Elephas maximus indicus: one gene and its partners. The protein of the gene in region 1 purifies or fractionates together with the protein of each later gene. This does not show direct contact. Links are inferred from orthologs where the notes say so. Each region holds a gene or a part of one and is shown on either strand. Other genes may lie near its edges. The genes, in order: ENO1, PARK7 and TPI1.

What was found.
Region 2: the proteins of ENO1 (region 1) and PARK7 fractionate together in Homo sapiens (co-fractionation; 3 studies listed by BioGRID). This does not show direct contact. The link is inferred for Elephas maximus indicus from reciprocal best matches to the Homo sapiens genes ENO1 and PARK7.
Region 3: the proteins of ENO1 (region 1) and TPI1 fractionate together in Homo sapiens (co-fractionation; 4 studies listed by BioGRID, with this or other methods). This does not show direct contact. The link is inferred for Elephas maximus indicus from reciprocal best matches to the Homo sapiens genes ENO1 and TPI1.

Annotation. Positions count from the first base shown.
Region 1 is NC_064821.1:48,283,982-48,291,813, reverse strand, and holds the start of ENO1 (alpha-enolase), read left to right. Parts: upstream 1-4,378; 5' UTR 4,379-4,504; intron 4,505-6,797; 5' UTR 6,798-6,806; coding exon 6,807-6,891; intron 6,892-7,832. UniProt on the Homo sapiens protein: Glycolytic enzyme the catalyzes the conversion of 2-phosphoglycerate to phosphoenolpyruvate. In addition to glycolysis, involved in various processes such as growth control, hypoxia tolerance and allergic responses.
Region 2 is NC_064821.1:47,287,343-47,296,057, forward strand, and holds the start of PARK7 (Parkinson disease protein 7), read left to right. Parts: upstream 1-5,023; 5' UTR 5,024-5,130; exon of another isoform or gene 5,131-5,135; intron 5,136-6,305; 5' UTR 6,306-6,372; coding exon 6,373-6,462; intron 6,463-8,130; coding exon 8,131-8,232; intron 8,233-8,715. UniProt on the Homo sapiens protein: Multifunctional protein with controversial molecular function which plays an important role in cell protection against oxidative stress and cell death acting as oxidative stress sensor and redox-sensitive chaperone and protease.
Region 3 is NC_064822.1:63,662,468-63,670,468, forward strand, and holds TPI1 (triosephosphate isomerase), read left to right. Parts: upstream 1-4,564; 5' UTR 4,565-4,579; coding exon 4,580-4,805; intron 4,806-5,984; coding exon 5,985-6,108; intron 6,109-6,222; coding exon 6,223-6,307; intron 6,308-6,381; coding exon 6,382-6,514; intron 6,515-6,812; coding exon 6,813-6,898; intron 6,899-7,149; coding exon 7,150-7,237; intron 7,238-7,360; coding exon 7,361-7,479; 3' UTR 7,480-7,953; downstream 7,954-8,001. Other genes in the region: USP5 (ubiquitin carboxyl-terminal hydrolase 5), read left to right, coding at 518-709, 1,203-1,346, 1,427-1,572, 1,791-1,944, 2,248-2,332, 2,925-3,018. UniProt on the Homo sapiens protein: Triosephosphate isomerase is an extremely efficient metabolic enzyme that catalyzes the interconversion between dihydroxyacetone phosphate (DHAP) and D-glyceraldehyde-3-phosphate (G3P) in glycolysis and gluconeogenesis.

The DNA of each region.
Region 1 (7,832 bases):
CCGCGTCCTCCCACCTGTCTCCCTGAATGTATGCTGTGTTTCTAGGGTAGCCTTGCCCAAACCCTGCTTCCTACAGCTGACTTTGTCATCTTTGAAGAAGGCACAAGAGTGGGCTGTTGATAGTAGGAAGTCCTAAGAGGTGCCCCAAAGCCATAGTAGAGTGTTGACTAGGATTTACAGAGAGAAAAAATAAGTTTTTTTTTTTTTTTTTTTTAAGTGAAGGACTCAGAAAGGGTGGTAAATTGATAATCGGAGGGGGCTTAATCTGTAGAAAAAAAACTGCAAGGAAAGAGCTGAATTTGATATTTTGTTTTCAAACTGGGTCAGAACTCATATGCTGCTGGTTGGACTACACAGATATACAAACACTTTAGAAAATAAAGGTGAAGAAGCGTATACCCTATGACCCAGCAGTTCCACATCTAGGCATTGTTGTTTTTGTTGTTAGATACCATTGGGTTGGTTCTGACTGATAGTGACCCCACACAAAACAGAACAAAACACTGCCTGGTCCTATGCCATCCTCACAATTGTTGCTATCTATGCTTGAGCCCATTGTTGGAGCCACTGTGTCAATCCATCTTGTCAAGGGTTTTCCTGTTTTTTACTGAGCCTCTACTTTACCAAGCATGATGTCTTTCTCCAGGGACTGATCCCTCCTGATAACATATCCAAAGCATAGGCCCTAGAAAAACACTTGCATCTGTGCTCAGGACACATTTGCAACCAAGTTCGTAGCAGCATTATTCACATTATAAAGGGAGAAAAAAAAGTGGATACAACCCAAATATATGTTGACAGGAGAATATGTAATATTCACACAATGGACTGCTATGCAGTACTGACAAAGAACCACCTACACTTCCACACCTATGGGGTCAACATGGACTGATCCCACAAACATCAAGTTAAGCAAAATAACTAGCAAAAGACTATACGCAGTGTGATGCCATTTATATAAAGTTCAAAAAACGATTAAAAAAAAAAGCCATAAAGAAAAGCAAGGGAATAATAAACACAAAACTTAGGTTAGTGGTTATCAAGAGGGATACACAGGGGGCCTTAACAGCACTGCTAATGTTCCATTTCTGAAGCTAGTGGTGTGTCCACAGACATTCATTTATTATCCATGAGTCGGAATGGACTCAATGGCAACTCACAACAAAACATATAATCCTTACATAGTCTTTGGTATATATAAAATATTTAATGATAAAAAAACAAACATGAAAACCTCATGGCCTATTATGAGGAGGGACATAGATGCCTCTGAGGGCCTTCTGTATGTATCTGATCTCTTACCTCCCTGGACCCCTCATCCTACTCTGAAGTTTGGAGAGCTGCTTTCAGAAACAGTATGTCCCTTTCTCCATAAACCAGCGTTTTCCAACCAGTGGTGCACATACCACAGATGGAATCAATAATCCAGATGGGTCCTTGTTGTTAGCTGCAGTGGAGTTGACTCCAACTTGGTGGCATCACTAGGGTGCAGGGGGTACAGACCACACTGGTGACACTTTCAGAGGGGGTGACACCAAAATGACTTGCCTATAAAATTTTTGTGCAGTGTTTCAGCAGAAATTTATTTTTATTTTTTAAAAAATCCTGTAGTTAGTTGTAACAAAAGCATTTTTCATAAGACCAGCTTAACCCACTCCCACTGCCATCAAGTCGATTCCAACTCATAGCAACCCTACATCTATCAATATACCTACAAGGCTAAAGCTCTATGCAGATTTACTTTTTGAACCTTCTAATGCGCACCAGTCAAGGTTGTCACTGTTATGCAATTACAATGACACCTCGAATGATGTGATTTTGCCAGCTACGAGCACGCAATGTTGTTTTCTTTGCTGCCAGTGTTTTTACAGTTGTTGATTTTGTCAAATTTGCCGGTGTTTTAGCTACAATATTGTGGTATTATTTGTGAATCTATATCTATAACTTTTTTGACAATGAAGTAATTAAAAAGAAAAAAAGGCTTCCTTTCAGTTACTAATAATGTTATCACTAATAATGTTTTAATTCGATGTAGAAAGGCTACAAAATAATTTTGTTGTTAGTACTCACATAATCTAAGAAATTTTATAATTAAGCACTTTACAAACTATATTTATCACATATTATCTTATGATTAAAACTGAGGTCCACGGGGGTTGGGGGCGACACCATGAGTTACTGTACTGGGTAACACCACTGTTCCACAAGGTCTTCAAGGCTGTAAGTTTTCGGACCTTGATTTGTAAGCTTTCACTTAAAGTGCAATAAAATTAAAAAAAAAAAACCTCCAACCTTTTTGCTAGCAGTCAAGTGCTTAACCATTTGCACCATTGAGGGCCTCAGGTGGGTCATAGGCTGCTGCAGATTCACCTGCCCTCCATCCAAGCGCTACCTGCAGATCTCCTGCAAGACGGCCTGCATCGCTTCAGGTATGGTATGCTGATAGTAACCTGAGCACCACCAGCAAGGCGAGTGCCCTTGATATGCCACGCAATAAAATTGCTCAACAACCTCACTTTAAAGGGCATCTCCAATAATCATTAATGTTTGAACTACAATTTGAGGTTCAAGTGCTGGCTCATAATGGTGAGCTGTGGGCTCCAAGAATCTTGCAACAGCAGCTGACTCAGATCATGTTCTGCATTTGGCTTCCTGCTAGATTCACTGGTTCTGGCCAGCCAGCAGTTATGAGGGCCTTGATTATCTTTATCTCTAACAACGTTGGTGTAAAGTAAAAGGGATTGTTTGGAGCCCTTTCAGGGCCACGCCTTAGAATTACTCTGAAAATAAGAGCTCTAAATGTCTGATTTCCTTGGAGCCCTTACAAGGCTTGAGAGATGTTGGCTGTGATGTAACTGCTGAGTCATGGGACTCAGATACCGGTTTCCAGCAGCCAAAAACGGCAGTGGTGAAATCACGAACATTGCTTGCAAAATTCATATAATTCTTTAGCGAACCATGTTACAATCTCCATGTTGTGTTTTTGCTGAATTTAATCTTAAAATTTTTGTTTCTTAGTCAATGGAAAACAAATACTGTGGACCCCATAGGCCTTCATCTTTCCAATGCTTTGAAAACCTAAGCTTGACAAGAAAGATGCTAGGAGTTAAGGACGAAAAGCAGTTTTAAGAGCTAATCAGAAGAAATACTAAATTCAATACACATTTGAATCTTTCTATGCAAGGCAATATGGGAAATATGGAAATCTATTACATTGTTTAAGACCTCACACTCACAAACCAGGAGGGCCATGGAGAAAATACAAAAATAACTGTATTAGAACACGAAGTGACCACTCAGCCCCTCCTTGGGGTGGGGGATGTGTTGCAGAGCTGACTTCTTAATGGTCTATCAGATCTTGATCACAATGGCAAAGTCACTGCACCTACCAATTGTTTCTTATTTGCTGGACCACTGTGGAATATTGCTTACTGTTCTGTACTTTAAGAAATTCCTCTCCCAAATCATTACATTTATAGTTCGCACGAATCCCTCGAATTCCATAGATAATGGAAAGGGAGGGATACGAAGTCTCCAGTTAAAGGTGAAATAGTAACAGGCACTAGTGTATGAATTAACACTGGGGAAGCATGTGGAGATGTGCCTGGCACAGAGTAAGAATACTTGGTTAAGTATTGGCTATAATTTATGGAAGACGAACCTTCCTTTCAGCTACCTTGCCTGATCCTCAATGTCAAGCCGGCGTGGCAAGGTGAATGGGGCAGGGTCACCTTGGGCTTGACACGCGGGTGCCTGACCTCGTTGGGCACGCGCACAGCGCACTGCGCGCTGGCGCAGGCAGGCACACGTGGCCTCCTGGACTCAACGTGGCAGACTTCGCCGCGGTCAGGTCCAGGTCGTGGGGGTCGTGCGCCCCGCGCGGTCGCTCAACGCTTCAACTCCCGGGCACCGAGTTCCGGGGCGGGGGAGGCCCGGGAGGCAGGCCGGGAAAGGGTGCGCCGCGAAGGTCGTCACCAAGGTCGTAGCCAAACGTGCGGCCCGGAGCAGGAGCTACGCCGAGTGCGTGCGAGACTCGGAGTACGTGCCGGCGCCCCGAGCCCTCATGCCCGCCGCGCCACCCTGCCCCTCCCAGGCCCCGGCTCCCCAGGTCCCTGTTCTCCTCAGGGGTCCCCACGGGGAGCGGGGCTCGCCAGGATCCCCGTATAGCCACTAGGGAGTCAGGTCCCCAGTGTCCCTAACCCAGCCCTGCGACCCCAAGTCATCGCCCCCAGATCGAGATCGGTGCGGCAGCCGCAGCCCCGCCCCTTCCCGGGAGGCGAGGACCTGAGTGGCGGAGCGCTTAGCCAATGGCGAGGCGGCGCGGACGGGGCCGGCCCCGGAGGCGGGCACTGGGCGGTGCCTCCTAGGCGGGCAGGAAGTAGGGCGAGGCGGCGAGCAGAGGATCCCGGGGAGTTAGCGAGGTCGCACGCAGTTGGCCTAACGCTCGTCTTGGTGTCTGCAGCACTCTCCGCTTCCTTCCTGCGCCACGAGAACCGGCGGCTAGGTAAGGACTCCTGCCAAGGGAGCGCTCGTGCAGGTGGCGTGTGGGTTTTCCTCGACCGAGCTTGTGGGAGCTCCCTCCCCGCAGGGACGTGGCGTGCGGTGGGTTCGGGCGCGGACGGGACCGATGGGGACATGCGCGCCGACTTCCCGCCTCGCTCTCCGGCGAGTGTGTCTGGGCACTCCGCAGATTGAGTTCGGGCCGCTCCCGGATGCGCTCGGAGGCCTGCGGTGTGCCCTGGCAGGACCCAGTGCCCTTCCTGCGGCCCAGGGGCGCGGGTGCGGCGCTAGGCGCACGTGTAGGGCGCCAGGTTTCTTTGTAGGGGAAGATGCTGATCAGCACGTGATTACGGAGTGAAAGGCCAGATAACTGTACTCGGAGAGTCCGGACTAGAACACGCAAACCATTTAGGATATCTGGCGTCGTGGGTGGAAGGCGCTTCTCTATGAGTAGCCAAATGGAAGGTTTTTGGGGAGGGATACAGACTTTGCGCGGGTGATAATTAAAACCAGACCCTTTTTAAAATGGAGGAAGGGACGGGGGGAGATGCCCAGAAAGCTGCAGTTCCTCTTCTCCCCACCAGTAGCCCAAGCGTCCCACTAGTGCCTCAGGGCCTGCAGCTCGGCGCCTGGGTGTCCAGCCAGCCATCGCCGCAAAGGCTTATATAATTTCTAGAAGGTGCTTCTTGAGGAAACTGCAACAGTTCCGGTGGATAATGGGGACGCCCTTAGGCGACCTCGCCCGAGTCAGGCGAGTACCCTGCGCCTCTCCCCGACTTACTCCCTGGAGGGGCCCTCGTGTGGCATAAAAAGATTTTATTTTTTATTTTATTTTTTAAAGCTGCCTGTTTCCTCCACACTGGTCTTGACTCCTGGGAGGTGTGGTCTGTTGGTTGACTTGCTCCAGGTCACTGCCCCGTCCACTTGTTTTGCGCCTGATAACGGGATTCAGTCCAGACAGAAGTGATCACGAGCCGGTTTGCTGTCTCCCTGCTCGCTGAACTTTAATTACTTCGGAGAATGATTTTTCTATAAATGTAAAGGTGTATTACATTTTATTTGCACCTCAAATTTTAAACAAATTTGCCCTTTTGGGTGATAGTATGTAGAAATTAGATACTTTTTTATTGGCTAGTGAATAAAGCTCCATTGTTACACAGAAGTGACTTGGGTATCAAATTTTGAAACTTACAGTAGATTAAAAAGATAGGATGCCAGTTGCTACTTCAGAACATTCCAGAGAAGATGTTAGAGGGAAACCCAGCTAGATAACGGTTTTTGAATAATAATTCATTTCTTCTCATCCACTTCACTTCAGGTTGAGTTAGTTTCTTCCTTAGAGAACTCCTGGGGGGGGGAAGTAAGAAAGGGGCTTTTGGGAGGACTTGCTATTTGCTCTTGGTAGCTGTGATTCCTTTTCTTTTTTAGGTGCGTTTTCAAAGGAAGCCCCTTCCATTGGCGTATGCTGGTGTTCAAAGACAATCTTTCTTCCATTTACAAATCATAACATTTCAGAATTGAGTTTTTTAAATGGGGTAAAATTCCCTTTGGGAGAAATACTAACTAGATGTCATTATTAATGTGTCCTATCTAAAGATGCGAATACTGGGAAATTCAAAAGGCCCAGAAAGTGGCAGTAACAAAGAGCACGGACCAAGGAGCTCATCGTTCCTGAGCACCAAACTCAAAATTGTAACTGGATATCAGTTGAATATTCTACTTCTTCCTCAAACACTGACCTTAATGAAATATGCCCCAAATTTTTAATTCAGTATTCCATTATAAGCTTGGTTTTCCTCCTGCATCCCTACCTTGTGGGGGGGGGGGGGGCCTGGCCTAGATGGTTTTTCTTGTGAGTTTCATGCCCTTTCTTCCTCTGCCCTTAGGTTTGGGCTTGGCCCTTTTCCGTTTCCATGCCAAGCCTCGTAAACTCTCGACAGTAACCAGTTTCAGACTCCTCTTAAGCCGTCCTGTATCCGCCACCACATTCATCTTTACAGGTGGTTTTGGTTTCTCCCTGGTGTGCACATGCTTTGGCCTTCTTTGTTCTGCTTACAGGACGAGACCTGAACTGCTGGTTTAGGGCCTTCCAAAGCTGGGGCCAACCTACCTTTTTAGGAGCAATTCCCATTACTTTGCAGCAGACTTGTTTCCACTTCACCTAGCCTTCCTACCTGCAGCATTTAGTCCAGTGCAGCCATCTTCTAGTCCAGGAAGCCTCGGAGGCAATCCCTTGAATGAATGAGTAATGAACACATTCTGGTTTATGGAAAATATGAACTGTGTTTCCCCTACAGAAACTCACCATGTCTATTCTCAAGATTCACGCCAGAGAGATCTTCGACTCCCGTGGAAATCCCACTGTTGAGGTTGATCTTTATACTGCAAAAGGTATGTGCCACTTGGATTCTGTGGTTCTTTAGTCACGCACCATCTTTAAAACCTACTTAAATTCATAGAGCATTAGACCAAAAAAAGCCTGTTGTGAAAACCTTTCTTGTGGTCTGTACATACTAGTCGGTTGTGATTCCTGACTTGGTGGGGAGCAGGTTATAAGGCAAGGAGTCCTTGACTCCTGGATGGCATTTAAAACAGAACATAGGTTGGCTCCTAGGTCAGTGGGGTAGGGAAGTAAGGTAGGGCCTTGTCCCTAAGAGGTCCCATCACTAGTTTGCTTCTCAGCTTTCTGTGACCAAATAAGCAAAAGTGGTTGTGATAGAATGATCTTCATCCCTTGATAAGGAAGGAGATTAGGGGAATGCAAGCAAGTGCAAATATAGCACTCTTAACTTTCTTTCCAGAAATCACCTTTAACCAAGGGTGGAGAACCCAGAGGCTCTTATTTTTACTGGGCTTTTTTTTTTTTTTTTTTTTCTTAAACCACTGCTGTAAAGTCAAGTCAGTTCCGACTCATAGCAACCCTATAGGACACAGTAGAGCTGCCCCATAGGATTTCCAAGGCTGTAATCTTTATGGAGGCAGACTGCCACATCTTTCTCCAGTGGAGTGGCTGGTAGGTTCAAACCACTGACCTTCTGGTTAGCAATCAAGTGCTTTAATCACTGCACCACCAGGGCTCCTACCATGCTGTAAAAGGGTGCTGGTGGCACAGTGGTTAAAGTGCTCAACAGCTAACTGAAAGGTTGGTGGTTTGAATCCACCAGGTGCTCCACAGGAGAAAAGTGTGGCACTCTGTTTCTGTAAAGATTTCAGCCTTGGAAACCCTGTGGGGCAGTTCTGCTCTATCCTGTAGGGTATGAGTCAGAATCAACTCAATGGCAATGGATTTTTTTTGGGTAAGTTCCCCTAGGAGGAGATTTCCCATGTGAAAA
Region 2 (8,715 bases), about 1.0 Mb from region 1:
GCCAGGCAGCTGCCTTCAAAATTTCTTGGCATAGACAAGTGAGTGCTTCCAGCTCTGCATCTGTTTGTTGAAAAGTCTCAATTGATATTCGTTCTATTCCTGGTACCTTCTTTTTTGCCAGTGCCTTCAGTGCAGCTTGGACTTATTCCTTCAGTACCATTGGTTCCTGATCATATGCTACCTCTTGGAATGGTTGAATATTGACTAATTCTTTTTGGTATAATGACTCTATTCCTTCCATCTTCTTTTGATGCTTCCTGTGTCATTTAATATTTTCCCCATAGAATCCTTCACTATTGCAACTCTAGCCTTGAATTTTTTCTTCAGTTCTTTCAGCTTGAGAAATGCAGAGCGTGTTCTTCCCTTTTGGGTTTCAATCTCCAGCTCTTATTTTTTGGTAAATGGTTTACTTTTTTGGCTTTGTTCTGTAACAATTTGACGAGAAACCTGCATGAACTATAAAGTTGAGAGTGTCATGAGTGTTGATGACTCATTAAGTAGTCCTCTCGGAGTATATGGGGGGTACCATGTGCAAGTTGACATCAGAATACCCGCATTTGCCCAAGCTCGGCAGGATCGTATATAATCATTTCTCTCCTCTGGACCTCAGTCTGCATCTGTGAAATTAAAACTGTGATAACATCTGCCAGGAAGCCAATATACAATGTCTAAATCTGGTAAATGAGAAATAATATTATTAGCATATTGTTAAGGATGATGACATAATTACCAGAAGAAATAGCTGAAAGTATTTACTTCTGAGCAGCAGAGCTGAGGGGTAGGAAGGTCTGAGTCAGAGGAATACTGTTTTTAAATATAAGGCTTTTAATACTGTATTGGTTAGCTATTGCTGTGTAACAAAACCTGAGTGTACAGTCTTCAGGTTTGTCTTGTACTGTTGGCTGGGCCAGCTCTGTTCCATGTGAGTTCACTCTGAAACCCAGTTTGAGAGGTGAGCAGCAACTTCCCTGGGGGGAAGCTCTTCCTATGGCAATACAAAAGTGCAAGACAGCAAGCCTAAGTATCAGGTTGGGTCAGTAATTTTCAAGCCTTTGTTCAGGTCATATCTGTTAACGTTCCATTGGCCAAAGCAAGGCCAAACCCAAAGTCAAGGGGCAGGAAGTACACTGGACCCATGCAGGTGGAAGGGGAAAAAGCGACTATTTCTGTAAAATAATCCAATCTATCATAGGTAGTATCTGAGTTTTTAAAACTATGTGCATTGTATTAATTTGATAAAAATTAATGCTGATTCAGGTCCAGCCCCCCTGGCCAGCTAACTGGAAGAGATCCATACTGGTGCCGATTCCAAAGAATGATGATCCAACAGAATGTGGAAATTATTGAACAATATCATTAATATTACACACAAGTAAGATTTTGCTGACAATAATTCAGAAAGAGTTGTGGCAGTATATCGACAAGGAACTGCCAGAAATTCAAACTGGATTCAGATGGATCTTGGCTGAAAGCAAAGAATACCAGAAAGATGTTTACCTGTTGTTTTATTGACTATGCAAAGGCATTTGACTGTGTGGACCATAACAAATTATGGATAACACTGAGAAGAATGGGAATTCCAGAACACTTAATTGTGCTCATGAGGAACCTGTACATGGATCAAGAGGCAATCTTTAGAACAGAACAAAGGACCCTTTGTGGTTTAAAATCAGGAAAGGTATGTGTCAGGGTGGTCTCCTCTCACCATACTTATTCAGTCTGTATGCTGAGCAAATAATCTGAGAAGCTGGACTATATGAAGAAGAACACGGCATCAGGATTGGAGGAAGACTTATGTACAGCCTGCAATATGCAGATGATACAACCTTGCTTGCTCAAAGTGAAAAGGACTTGAAGCACTTACTAATGAAGATCAGAGACTACAGTTTTCAATATGGATTACACCTGAACATAAAGAAAACAAAAATCCTCACAATTGGGCCAGTAAGCAACATCATGATAAATGGAGAAGAGACTGAAGTTCTCAATGATTTCATTTTACTTGGATCCACAGTAAATGCCCATGGAAGCAGCAGTCAAGAAATCAAATGACGTATTGCATTGAGCAAATCTGCTGCAAAGGACCTCTTTATTAAAAAAAAAAAAAGGGCAAAAATGTCATTTGGAGGACTAAAGTGTGCCGGACTCAAGCCATGGTATTTTCAATTGCCTCATATGCATTGAGAGTTGGACGGTGAACAAGGAAGACCGAAGAAGAATTGATGCCTTTGAATTATGGTGTTGACAAAGATATTGCATATACCATGAACTGCTAGAAGAACAAACAAATCTGTTTTGGAAGAAGTACAGCAGGAATGCTCATTAAAAGTGAGGATGGTGAGACTTTGTCTCAAATACTTTGGACATGTTATCAGGAGAGCCCAGTCCCTGGAGAAAGACATCATGCTTGGTAGAGGGTCAGTGAAAAAGAGGAAGAACATCAATGAGATGGATTGACACAGTGGCTGCAACAATGGGCTTAAACATAGCAATGACTGTGAGGAGGGCTCAGACCGGGCAGTGGTCATTCTGCTCTACATGAGGTCACTGTCAGTCAGAGCTGATTTGAAAGCACCTAACAACAACAAACAGGTCCATTTTAGATCTTGATGGTGATGCAGATGCTTCAGCAGTGTTAACTCTGTCTCTGCCAATCCATCTGTTTTGCCATTTTTACTCTGTCATGGCTGTCTCCTGCTGCAGCATGCCATGAGCATGGTTGTCTCCTTGCCAGACTTCACTATGAGGACAGGATCAAAACAGTCTGTTTTCTTTGGTTTTCCTTCCATCTACTGAACTTCCTCCTTGGTTCTTCAAGCACACATCTGACCACTTGCCTCCCCTCCCTCTCTGTCTCTATTTTAGAAGCTCCTTCAAAGCTGAAAGAGGGTGGCTTTTGCCTGCTTCCTTTGCCAAATATGAAGTCATTCCAGAACTCCCCAAACAATATTTTCTTAAAATGTCAAATAATGATTTAAAGACATTCAATTTTTTTTGCAGTGCAGAGTGCTGCATAAATGAATCGATTTACATTTAATTTAAATAAAAAAGCCCTCCCCACGATTATAAGGATCACATGAAATATATGAAAGTGCTTTGTAAAGTAACAAAGGAAAGAAAGTTATTTCTTGAAAATAAACATTTTTAAAAATCTAAATTGAAACTTAGAAAACACTGACATATTTAAAATTTTGTTTGATCTCATAGATTGCTGGTGGGAATGTTAAGTGTTTCAACTTCTGTGGAGTTGCTCAAATGCATTTCCCATTTCTGGGAATTTACCCTCCACTTATACCTGCATGAGTAGGATCTATGTGTAAGGTTATTCAATGCTGCATTGTCCCTACAGATAACGACTGGAAATAACCTAAATGTTCATCAGTAAGTAAACTATGGAACATCCCCACAATGGCGTATTATCCATCTGGGAAAAAAAAGGGGGGGGGGATTCTTTTTGTTTTCATGTAGATTTTCAAGAAACATTAAGTGAAAAAATAAGTGCAAGACAGTGTACATAATCTGCTACATTTTATGTGAAAAAGAATAGTCTTTATTTGTATTGCTTGTGCTTATATAAACGCTGGAAGGCTTCTCAGTGAAGTAATAAAGTTGGTTACTGGGTGGGAGGTGGGGTTGGGACTGGATGGGACATGGATGGGAGTGTGTCTTTTCAGTGTAACCCTTATCTTTTGAAACTGCTGAAGTACTAATATTCAGAAACTTTACAAGAATAAAATTTGAGATAATTTAAATTTAACCAATCAAGTACTTGTTAGACTTACATGTGCAGCATTGCTTCTAACCTGTGAATGCAAAAGCAGCATTAGCTTATGTGAACAACTTAAGGAGATAAGCAAATACACACAAAATTGCCGTGTGTAAATAAATTCTGAACAGTCACCTGGGATCACTCAGCCTAAGTGCCTGGGTTGAACAAGGCCTGGTGTTGCAAGGAAAAACATCGCAAAACTTAGTAATACATAAAGGAAGTGTGATTCAGCATGTATTAAAAAAGGCAAAAGTGGGAAGCAGAGAACCTGCCATAGTTAATGTCTGCCCGAATCTGAGGAAATATTATACAATAGACAAAAGTGGGAAAACGGACAAGCATGCTGCTAGCGCCATGTCTGCCCGAGTCCAAGGAACATTACAGAATCATCAGTATATATTAACAGTACGAATGGGCAGAACTATTGAAAGCTTCACCTTTTCACAGATTGGCTAAAAATGTGATCCTAGATTTTGAATCCTCTTAACAGTCATTGGTACAGGTTTCAGTAATGACAGTCAGGGTCTTCATTGGTCCAACAGATTTTCTATTCACTAAATGGTAATCTTTTTTTTTAAACGGTAATAGAAAAAGAGTGGAAAGTTTTTTGTGTTGATCGCTTATGTGAAAGTTTCCCTAAAAGATATTTTCCAAGATTATGTTGTCTTTATACCTCAGGGCCCAGTTGAAGTGTCCTTGTGAGTCCCTGAGTCCACCTCCAGCTGGGTCATATTCTTGTATGCCCAAAGACATGGAATAACTTCAGTATTATTTCCTAAGTCACCGGAAAGACCTTGAAGAACGAGTCCTACTAGATCGGAGGTGAAAGGCGAAGACGTTTCAGGAAACAGGAATGACGCAAAAGGGGATAGAAACGAACACAAGAAACGCCAGGAACAAATCTATCAATACCCATGTTTAAGCTGCAGCGGCTCTAAGAGCTCTGCGTTGTGCCTTTTCGGCTTCAGCAAAAAGCGGGTTAAACCGCGGGAGCCGGCGGACTGTGCCATTCGTGGGAGGGGTTTCGTGTGGATGCGTGAATCTGTAGCACTTTAGGGGTGCTGGGAGTTCCACTTGAAGGAACTGAAATTATCCCTAGACACACAATTCCGAAGCAGAAAAGGACTGACGCACCCCCAATCCGTTCGATGCATCCCTCGGAGGCGGGCTCGCCGGACGTGACGTAACATGACGCGACACGGCGCCGGTATGCGCATTTGTGGGGAGGCCGGGAGAGGCGAGTCTGCGCAGTGCGAAGGGGGCGGGTCCGGGCGGCCCGGTTCCGGTTAGGTCCTCCTGGGTGCACTGCAGGCGTCGCAGCCGAGTGGGCCGAGGATCCCTGTCTGTAGGCGAGGCGCGAGGTCAGGTCGGGCTGGGGAAGAGCGAGGCGCGTGCGCACGGGTCGCGGGGGCCCTGGGTGTGTCGAGCCTTAGCTGGGTTACACGACTCTGGTGCGGGGGCTTCGGAAGGTAAACGGCCAGGCCTGTGCACTCGGATGAGGTCACTGAACCGTGCGGACCCCGGGCGTAGGTTTGGTTGCGTTTGATAAACATGGCAGTTTAGTCTAAGGAGATTCCGTTATTTTTGAGTGCCAACCGTAGTAGCATCGCTAAAGAAGAGAGCTTCCAAAATGCTGTAACACATTTCTGGCTTGGACCGAGTTAATACTGTATGTTGAAATCGTTTTATTGAAAATCTGTTTTGCTTGGACAGCAAACTCTCCAGAAAAAGGTTAGGCTAAAAATTACGCAGAACTATGTGCAAAGAGGAGTCCTGGTGGTGCAGTGGTTAAGAGCTCGGCTGCTAACCACGAGGTGGGCAGGTCATATCCTCCAGCCGCTCCTTAGAAACCCTATGGCGTAGGTCTACTTTGTCCTATAGGGTCGCTATGAGTCGGAGTCGACTCAATGGCAAGGGTTTTTTTTTTTTTTTTTAATGTGCAAAGAGAGATAATATAGCTGGATTAAGTTTAAGTGAGGGGAATTTCCATCTTTCTCAGTCATAAAAAATACTGCGTTTAACATGATTAAATCCCCCCCCAAAGTTTTTAGTGCAGTTATTGGAACTAAAAAAAAAAAATCCCCTCCAAAAATCTTCCAGGCTCATTACTAAACACTGAGAATTTAATCTTATGCCCATAAAATTAAGGTTATTTGTTTCTCTATGAAAAAGCACTACAAAAAGGCAGATTTCTTTTTATCACTGGCATTGTGTGACATGCAAGACTCATGTACTTGCGTTTTAGAAAAGCTCACTTGCGATGTATTATTAGAAATTGGATTTAAGAAATTATGGTAAAAAGATAGTGGTAAAAGAATATCTAAACAATCCAAACGTGTATTTTGTGACACCCTCTAAGAGAATTAGCAGCTCCACTGTGTTTTTGTCTTAGAAATCAACAGTTGGACACTACTATATAAACCAATATTATCCTAAAATGCTCGATTTTAGATGTGTTTGTTAGACCCTTTACCCTAGGAGGTACTTATTTACTGTTTGAAAATATTTCTAAGCTTAAACTTTTTGGCTATTCCAGGGGTGCAGTGAAAGTTTTTTTGGGAAATCTATTTTTGTATTAAGTCTTTAAAAAATACAACCTAAAAATGGCTTCAAAAAGAGCTCTGGTCATCCTGGCCAAGGGAGCAGAGGAGATGGAGACCGTCATCCCTGTGGATGTCATGAGACGTGCCGGAGTAAGTCCCCCACTGTGGTCTAATCCTCACCTCCCTTTTTTAAAAATGGTTGGAATTTTAAAAGACATTTTGAGTAATGTAGTATGCAAAGTCCTTTTTGAAATATTTTACACCTACACAGAAATACATAATAAATACCCATTTATCAAACTATATGTGATCAAATTTACAGCAGCAACTCAAAAGGATAGATGAGAAGCTTAGGAGGGCAATGAGTTTGTGTTAACAGTGGTGAAATAGTTTGGAAAATGTTGTTGAGAAAGATGGCACAACTTGAAGAATGTAACCAGTGTCACTGAATTGTACATGTAGGAATTGTTGAAGCGGTGTATGTTTTGTTGTGTATGTTTTCACCAAAAACCCACATTTACCCACTGCCTATGTTTAATATTTGTTGACATTATGCCCTATTTCAGACCCATTTCTTAAGGAACAAATGCTTTAAAGCAATGAACTTGAAGCCCCTTTGTTCTTTTCCCAATCCTGTTCTCCTTCTTTGTCCCCAGAGGTAAACGACTGCTATCCTCAAGTTAGTTTGCATCTGTCCCATGCATGTCTTTAAAGTAGCACTAGACTGATAGCTATCATTCTCTGTGTTTATCCATATTGTTACATAAGAATAGAGAACACTTAAATAGTTCTATGTGCCCGGTGTCATTCTGAGCACTTATATAAACTTGTTTAAACTTTCCAACAACCCTGAATTAGGTATTGCCATCTGATGGCACAGTGGTTAAGAGCTCTGTTGCTAACCAAAAGGTTGACAGCCCAAATCTACCAGCCGCTCCTTGAAAACCCTATGGGGCAATTCCACTCTGTCCCATAGGGTTGCTATCAGTTGGAATCGACCCTACGGCAACAGGTTACCCTCATTTTACAGTTGAGATCGAGGAACAAACACACAAAATAACATTCTTGTGGTCACAGTAAGTAGAAGAGCCAGCATTCAGACCCGGGCAGTGTGGCCACCCCCACGCCCAGTATACTTTTTTGCCTCTCACAAGTGTAGATACATGTTAATCCAGTTTATTCATTTAAAATTGTTGCTTAGTGTTGTCCTATATGAATACTCCACAATGTTACAGTGCTTCTACATATAGTATTACAATACTGTCATAAGTATTCTCTTGCAGGTAGTATATATCTAAAAGTGGAATAGTAGAATTGCTAGACCAAAGATACAGTCAGCATTACTAGATTGTGTCAAGTGCTCTTCAGTGTACAATTTGTCACTTCCCATTTTCTAAATACCAGCTCTTGGTATTGTCTGCTTTTTAATTTTTTGCCAGATACAGTAGTATTTCATTGTTCTAATTTCCATTTCTACCTTATGAAAACACTGTGAGGTTTAAATGGCCACAACAGCCTTGCAAGATGGGTTATTAACAGGATGATCACATAAATTGCCGCCCGAACAGAACACTTCAGGGAGAAAGAACGCTAACTGGATAGGATGCTGGGACAGCAGCTATAATTGGGACTCTACTAGGCAAACCAGGACAGACCTGGTTATTAAATATATTAAGCCAACTAACCAGCTTGAATTCAGAATTGCTGTGTTACAGTATTTCCTGCAAGATTATTTTTAAAGCATATGGGAACTGTAAAATGTTATTGTAAATTTATGTTTCAGTGTTCTAAAATGTCACAGTGACATCTTTCTCTTAGATTAAGGTCACCGTTGCGGGTCTGGCTGGAAATGACCCAGTACAGTGTAGCCGAGATGTTGTCATTTGTCCTGATGCCAGTCTCGAAGATGCAAAAAAAGAGGTTTGTTATCCTTACTTGAAATTATTCCTTAATATGGCTTCTTTATTAGTACTAATTTCTTGAAATGTCTTTAGACTACATCTAAGACTATTGTTATTGCAGGCTTTTTTTTTCTTCTTCTTTTTTTTTTAATTGTGCTTTAAGTGAAAGTTTACAGATCAAGTCAGTCTCTCATATAAAAATTTATATACACCTTGCAGTGCACTCCTAGTTGCTCTCCCCCTAACGAGACAGCATACTCCTCTCCACCCTGTATTCCCCGTGTCCATTTAGCCAGCTTCTGTCTCCCTCTGCCTTCTCATCTCCCCTCCAGACAGGAGCTGCCCACATGGTCTCATGTGTCTACTTGAGCCAAGAGGCTCACTCCTCACCAGTCTCATTTTCTATGTTATAGGCCAGTCCAATCCCTGTCTGAAGAGTTGGCTTTGGGAATGGTTCCAGTCTTGGGCTAACAGACAGCCTGGGGACCATGACCTCCAGGAT
Region 3 (8,001 bases), on another chromosome or scaffold:
AAAGTGGAAGAGTTATCTTAGATGTTTCGAAATATGTTTGAAAAACACTTGACTAAAAATGTTAAAAGATTTACAAACAATTTCCCTAATTTTAGTTTCATAACTGGTAAAATGTTTTCATTTTGAGAATCTTGAACAATTAATTCTCATTGCTCTCACAGACCTCTGATGACTGTAAGAGCTATTTGAGAACTATTGATTAAACTTCATTTTCTAGATAAGGAAGTTGAGATCCACAGAAGTATAAAAGGACTCAGTTGTACAAGTTGGAGGTCCCATTCCTTGTCTGTAGCTCATTGTGGTAGATCTAGGACTAGAATCCAGGTCTTGACTCCCAGGCTCACTGTTATTTTTACTACATTAGGACTCCTTTAAGATTGGTCCTGTTCTTAGTAGCTCCTTGTTACAGAGCAGTTTCAAGATGAGAAGCAAGGGCTTGAGATCCCCGAAAGTGATTTTTCAGAGAGGGCCTCAGGGAGCTGCTGAGGCGACCCCTTTCCTGCCATTCCCATTGCAGATGTGTCTATTGAGATGCCGGAGGAGCTAGACATCTCCCAGTTGAGGGGTACAGGGCTGCAGCCTGGAGAGGAGGAGCTGCCTGACATTGCCCCACCCCTGGTCACTCCGGATGAGCCCAAAGGTAGCCTTGGTTTCTATGGCAACGAAGACGAAGACTCCTTCTGCTCCCCTCACTTCTCCTCTCCAACATGTTAGTGACTCTTCCTGCCTGTCTTTCTCCATGCTGATGGGGGGCTTCTCTGCCTTGCCTCCCCCCTGACCCTGTCCTTCGTGTTTCTCCTGTCTTCCCTTCAAATTTCCTCCGTCCTCTTTTGATGGACCTGGGGACTGACTAGAGCACTCCCAGCCACATTCTGCATGTGGATGGCAGTAGCACTGGCTAATTGCTTCAACCCTGTTACCTCTTTGGATGGGGGTGGGGAGTATCATGTTCCAGAAACAGGGCCATTCCATGAGAATGGACAGAGAAGGGGATAAATGGAACCTGTAACCTCAGTTCTGTGCATTTAGAATACTGGACCTACATTATGTTGTGGGGTCACTTTAGGATAAAATTGAGGAATATGCATGGAATGGGTGGTTGGAAAAGGGCTGGCGGGTGCACTGTGGAAAGGAGGAGGGGCAGCTGGTGCCCCATGGAGTTGGGTCACTGTTCACATAATTCCCATCCTCCCTCCCCACAGCACCCATGTTGGATGAGTCGGTCATCATCCAGCTGGTGGAGATGGGCTTCCCTATGGATGCCTGCCGCAAAGCTGTCTACTACACCGGCAACAGTGGGGCTGAGGCTGCCATGAACTGGGTCATGTCACACATGGATGATCCAGGTAGGCAGGGTGGGGCAGCAGGACAGGGCAGGGCCACCATCCTTCCCCCAAACACACTTCAACCCTTCACATCCTGACAGATTTTGCAAACCCCCTCATCCTGCCTGGCTCCAGCGGACCTGGTTCCACAAGTGCAGCAGCCGACCCCCCACCAGATGACTGTGTGACCACCATTGTCTCCATGGGCTTCTCCCAGGACCAAGCCCTGAAAGCTTTGCGGGCCACGGTATGGGCTGCCCCAGCTAAGGACTTGGGGCCTATGGGGGAGGAAAGGGGTAGGAATGAAATTCTATCCTTTGCGATTAAGACCAAGCACAATGGGAATAGTATGGCCAATGCTGGGGCTCCACCCTTACGTGGCTCTGATGAAGGAGCTGAGCTTTCACTGGTGGTTTTCTTGCCCCAGAACTTGTTTAGAAAAGTAACAGTTCCTTCCTCTCCAAGAACAACAGTTTAGAACGGGCTGTGGACTGGATCTTCAGTCACATCGATGACCTGGATGCTGAAGCTGCCATGGACATCTCAGAGGGCCGCTCAGCTGCTGACTCCATATCTGAGTCTGTGCCTGTGGGACCTAAAGTCCGGGATGGTCTTGGAAGTGAGTGTCCCTGGAAAACAGGACAGAACTGAGAGAATCTAGCTAATCCGCTACTCCAGATCTCTCATTCGAAGGCAGCTCTACTTTCCTCAAGGGTCAGAGGCGTCAGAAGCTACCTTCCATTAATGTGACTTTTTGAGGGTGGGATTCTAGGAGGCTGAGATAGCCTTTTGGTCCAGTACATGTTCCACATTCCCTGAAACTCATGTCCTCACTTTGAGCTGCTAGATCAATCTTTGGACTGGTGCTCAAGGATTTCTTGCCCATTTTCTTCTCTGCCCTCTTATCTCTCCTTTTTCCTAGAGTATCAGCTCTTTGCCTTCATTAGTCACATGGGCACCTCTACCATGTGTGGTCACTACGTCTGCCACATCAAGAAGGAGGGCAGGTGAGGGGCTGGCAGTGTGCATTTTGAATGGGAAGTGGTGGTGGGAATGAGTAGGGGCACTCTGGAAGAAATTCTTAGTATATTTGCGATAGGGGCACAAATACACCAGAGATTGGAAGAATGCCTTACAACAGGGAACAGCAAACTATATATAGCCCAAGGGCTGAACCTAGCCACCTGCTTTTGTAAATAAAGTTTTATTGGAATATAGCCACACTTAGTAATTATGTATTGTCTATGGCTGTTTTCGTGCTGCAGCAGGAAAGTTGAGTCACTGTTGTAAGACTGGATGACCTGCAAAACCTAAAATATTTACTATCTAGCCTTTACCAAAAAGTTTGCCAACCCCTACAGGAATGGGTAGGGGGTGATTGTAAAGATACTGAAGGATCTCAAGACACAGAGGAGGAGAAATGACCCTTGTGGAATTGGGACGCTCCCTTCAGAGAGATAGCGAGTGGACTGTAGGTTTGGGGACCCAGGCAGACAATGTTCGGAGCCTTTCCCCCAGAATCAACTCTAGGGCTGTGTCTTAGGGATTAATTAAGTTGATGCAAATTGGGATGTCCATCCTTTTCTTTCCCTTCCCCAGATGGGTGATCTACAATGACCAGAAAGTGTGTGCCTCTGAGAAGCCACCCAAGGACCTGGGCTACATCTACTTCTACCAGAGAGTGGCCAGCTAAGAGGCCCCTCCTCACCCCTCACCACTGGGGACAGGGGACAAACCACCTGGCATGAGGGATAGGGGCTGAGGGATGGGCCTCAGCCCCCCTGCTCTATACCCTGTTTCTTTTTGTCCCCAGCAGCAGGGAAGAAGCTGGAGGCCATAGGAGAATGGCCAAACAAAGGGAAGGGGGCACTCTATAGACTTTGGGGATTAAGTGGGAAGGGGAAGGGAGGGGCCAGCTGCCTGTCTGTAAGAGACTTCGTTGCTTCCCCTGCCCCTTGAATCCACAGTGCTCTGCTTCTCTGTGTAATCTCACCCAGCCCCCTGGTGTGTGTGTGTCAGAGGGGGGGGTCTTATTTGTGTGTGTGCGTGGGTGTAGCTTTGTGCATCCTCTTCCAGGGGAGGGAGCATCTGTGCCTCCTCTCCCCCATTGTGTTTGCTCTATGTGTGGTTGGGCAAGGAGGGGTATGAGGGAAATGGGGACCTCCCTTCACCCTCCTGCCTCAGTCTTTTCCTCGTCCTTTCTGAAAATGCCAAAATACACGATGTGAATAAAAATACAATGGCTAACTTGTGTCCTGTTTGATACCTTGGGAAGGACTTCTGTTCCCTGGAACTAGTGGGAGGGCCAGTTTCAGAAAGCTCCCAGCCCCTTTGCCCTTCCTCTGTCTCCTCCATAGGCAATTTTCTCTTTAATTTTCACTAGTCCTAGAACTCTTGGAAAATTGGGTGTGAAAGGGGGACAGATCAGGGGTGGTCCCTGGAGCAGAAAAGCGGTGGAGGCAGGAGCAGAAAGGAGCTGACCACTAGTTGGGCCTGTCAGATCAAGAAAGTGGAGTGACCTAAATACAGAGCACAGAGCAAGGAAAGGTGGGGGTGAAGAGCCCTTCTTCCTCCTAGCAGTCATAGGAGGGGCTGAGTGGCTATTTCCCAAATGTCCCTAGTGGCTGGGGGGCACTCAGTCTGGGCTCTCGGCCCTTCAGTGTCTTGTGAGGCCTTGACCAGCTGGAGTAAAGAGTGGGATATCCCGGAGAAGGGGCTGCAGGTTTCTGATCTGCCTCTCTGGGCTGCAGAGTGACTAATGTGGGCTGTCCTTCCACCTCTGAACCTTATTTGCCCAGCAACTGTGGGGCTACACATCTCCCTGGGCAGGTCAAGGGTGCCTACTCTTCAGCCAGGGACGTAGCTTTGATATGGGAAGGGGTACTCTTTCCCTGAGCTGGAGCCATGCCCCTCAGAGCTCAGCCCTAGAGAGCAATTTGGCTTAAGGCTAAGCGGTGGGAATGGTCTGGCCTGCCAGCCAGCTCCATTTAGAGCCTTCTCTGGCCCTCTGGGGAGCTGTAGTCATGAGGTCTGGGTGCCCCTGAGCGCAGGGGCTCACAGTTCTTGCCTTTCCTTTATTGCCAGGCAATTGAGGCTACTAAAGCTACCAAGTCCCCAACGCTCCTAGAACGTTGCTACAAGAAAGGGGGAACGTCAGAACCTTGCAACAGCGGGCGGCCCGCAGGCGGGCGGGGGCTTGCAGGCGGCAGGAGGGGCCAGGGGGAAGGACTTCCAGGCAGGGGGCCGGGCTAACTATGGCTGAGGACGAGGAGAAGGCGGGGTTCTGCCTCACCGCGCTCTATATAAGCGGGCAGTGGCAGCGGCTGCGCCGTGGTACTGACCTTCAGTGTCTCGACTCTAGCGCAATGGCGCCCTCCAGGAAGTTCTTCGTGGGGGGGAACTGGAAGATGAACGGGCGAAAGAAGGGCCTGGGGGAACTCATCACCACTCTGAACGCGGCCAAGGTGCCGGCCGATACTGGTAGGCCCTCACCAGGGAGAGGCCGGGGCCGGGAAGGGGGGACGGGCGTGGCACTGCCCTCGCTCGAGCTCCCTGAGACGGGTGTCCGAGCGGACCTGGATGCCCGGCCGGGGTATAAGGGCCGTTGAGTGTCAGGGCATCGATCCTACATCGTGGTGGCCTCGCAGCAGCATTCGCGGGGGTGTGTCGAAGGGGAAAGGCGGGGCTCCATTTAATGGTGCCCTCAGACTCTGGGGCGGGAAAGGATTTAGGTCACCGGGAGGAAGATGGCCCCAGGGCGCCGACTAGGGCTGCACCAGCCAGGAGCGTGGGGTAGAAGCGTAGCCCGAGCCCCCGAGGGCGACCGGCAGAGGCTGGCGACCTGTACGGGTGAGGAGGCCGAGCGTGCGTGCGGGCTCCCGGCTACCTGCCTCTGGGCTCCGGCTCCGTGCGCGGCCGCACGTAGCCCAAGACTCCTCCCCACGCCTGGCTGGGCGCGCCGGCCTTCCCGCCGCCAAGCTGCTTTGGGTTCCGGAGCCACCCGTTCCGATCCTTTCACTTCGGCAGCCTGAGCTGCTCCTGCCTTCCACGGCAGAGCTGAGCAGGTGCCAAACAGACTGAGACATTTGGGAGTGAGGAGCGATCCTGCGGCATTCCCCAACGTGGAAAGGGAAAAGCGCAAGGCCTTTATGAGCTAGTCAGCTGCCTGCCACCCCCCTAAATCACAGAACCACGTGCCTGATCAAAAGCGGTATTCCCTTCTGGTGTATTTTCTAAAGACCCCCAATACGAACCCCAGGAATTGGCCCCTTCTCCTTCGCTAAAAATCCTTGCCTTGCTGGGGGAGGTGGGGATGGGCTATTTTAGAAGAAAGGCGGAGTTGGCCCCCAGAGAATGCTGAGTCCGGGAGGTGCCCATGCCCAGAATAGTCCCAGGGAAACCGGAGCCACAGCTATTAAAGGAGCAAAGGGCAGGGCTAGGGTCATGGCCTTTCAGGGGCACCCGGAAGGCTTTAGGAGCTGGGTGCAGGTCCAGCCTAGGCTGGGGAGTGGACAGAGGTCATCTTGCTGGGGTGAAAAAGGGGGAAAGCAGAACTAAGGAAGAGAATGAAGGCTGAGTGCTTTGGAGCACTGGATGGGAAGTCTGGAGAACGCAGGTTTTTGGTGATCTCATCCCCATGTGCCTCCATCTCATCCACAGAGGTAGTCTGTGCACCCCCTACTGCCTACATCGACTTTGCCCGGCAGAAGCTAGATCCCAAGATTGCTGTGGCTGCACAGAACTGCTACAAAGTGACTAATGGGGCCTTTACGGGGGAGATCAGGTGAGATGCAAGCAGGAGAGAGGTGTGTGGGGACCCTGCCCTCACTTTCTTCATTTGAGGGGAAAGCCACAGGGTGGGCTCCCTCCTGAGCCATAGCTTCCTCTCTTCCTTTAGCCCTGGGATGATCAAAGACTGTGGAGCCACCTGGGTAGTCCTGGGGCACTCAGAGAGAAGGCATATCTTTGGAGAGTCAGATGAGGTTAGTAACCAGGAGTGGAAATACGGGCTGCCTTATTCCAAGAGGGCTGTGTCACCAAGCCTGTTCTCCTACAGCTGATTGGGCAGAAAGTGGCCCATGCCCTGGCAGAGGGCCTCGGAGTAATCGCCTGCATTGGGGAGAAGCTAGATGAGAGGGAAGCTGGCATCACGGAGAAGGTCGTTTTCGAACAAACCAAGGTCATCGCAGGTATCTCTGGAGAAGGGACCTTTGAGCCTAGCCTGGGCTGCAGAGGGTGGAGTCAGATGCTCTGCAGCCTGACTTTGATCCCCATGCTGATCCAGGAAAGGAAGGGGGAGGGTGAGAGTCTTGCATCCTCCCTGACTTCTGCCCCTCCCCGACAGTACAGTTGCCTTGCCACCTGGGGTTCCTGTAATAGCCACCAGGTGGCAGCAGTGGGCCACCATAATTTTTCATACCCTGGAGAGGGTGGCTGGATAGCTCCTTCGCATTCACCCACCCTCCATCTGTGATCTTTGTCCTGCAGATAATGTGACCGACTGGAGCAAGGTCGTCTTGGCCTATGAGCCTGTGTGGGCCATTGGTACTGGCAAGACTGCAACACCCCAACAGGTGACCTAGCCCAGGAGCCCTGCCATCATCCAGTCCTACCTGTTGATCTATGTACCCCTCGTGTTAAAGATGAGGAACCCTCAAGTCCAAAGCGGAAGAGTGACTGGTCCAAGGTCACCCATTCCAGGGCCTGGCTGAGATTAAAGCCCTGGTGTTCAGAGATCACACTTCCTCTCTCCACTGGTGCCCAATGTTTTTCCCCTTTGAATGGGAAGTAGAAAGGGCTTTACTTAGTCTGGCTCTTGTTCTAGGCCCAGGAAGTGCATGAAAAACTCCGGGGATGGCTCAAGTCTAATGTCTCTGATGCGGTGGCTCAAAGCACTCGCATTATTTATGGAGGTAAGTGGATTTGACCCCAGCCTGAGGTGGGGCGGGCTGACAACTAGATGGAGCCCTCAGACATGGAGTGGGGATGGGGTATGTCCATCTCTCTCTTGATCCGTCCCTCTCACTCCTTCCCAGGTTCTGTGACCGGGGCCACCTGCAAGGAGCTGGCAAGCCAGCCTGATGTGGATGGCTTCCTGGTGGGTGGTGCGTCCCTCAAGCCGGAATTCGTGGACATCATCAATGCCAAACAATAAACCCCATCCATCTCCCCTACCCCTTCCCGCTGAGCCAGGGACTAGGCAGCCCAGAAGCCCAACAACCCCCTCCCCCTACATGCTTCTGATAGTGTCACCTGCCCCGTCTCATGGCCTAATCCAAAGTGTACCTTCCTTTACTGTTTACACCTTCCCCTGTAATGGCTGGGACCAGGCCAATCACTTCTCCACTTACTGTCATGGTTGGAAATAAACATGTCACCAAGGTGGCTTCTCATTGGCTGAGAGATGGAAGGTGTGGAGCTTGCCCATGGGTCCCCTCAGTCCCCAGTGAAGGCAGGAGAGAGAAATCTTACTTCTCTTCCCCTCTTACACTGTGAAGCCAGGGTCTGAGAGAGACCCCTGTCCTCCCCTCAGAGGCCAGGGGTGCTACCCTCTCCCATGATTCCAACGCCTGTGTGTGTTGTGTGTATCGCTGTCCCACATGTGGGGGAAATAAACATCTGGCACTAAGCCTTGTGGTTTGTCCTTCTTTGCTATACTTGTCCATACAATTTCCTC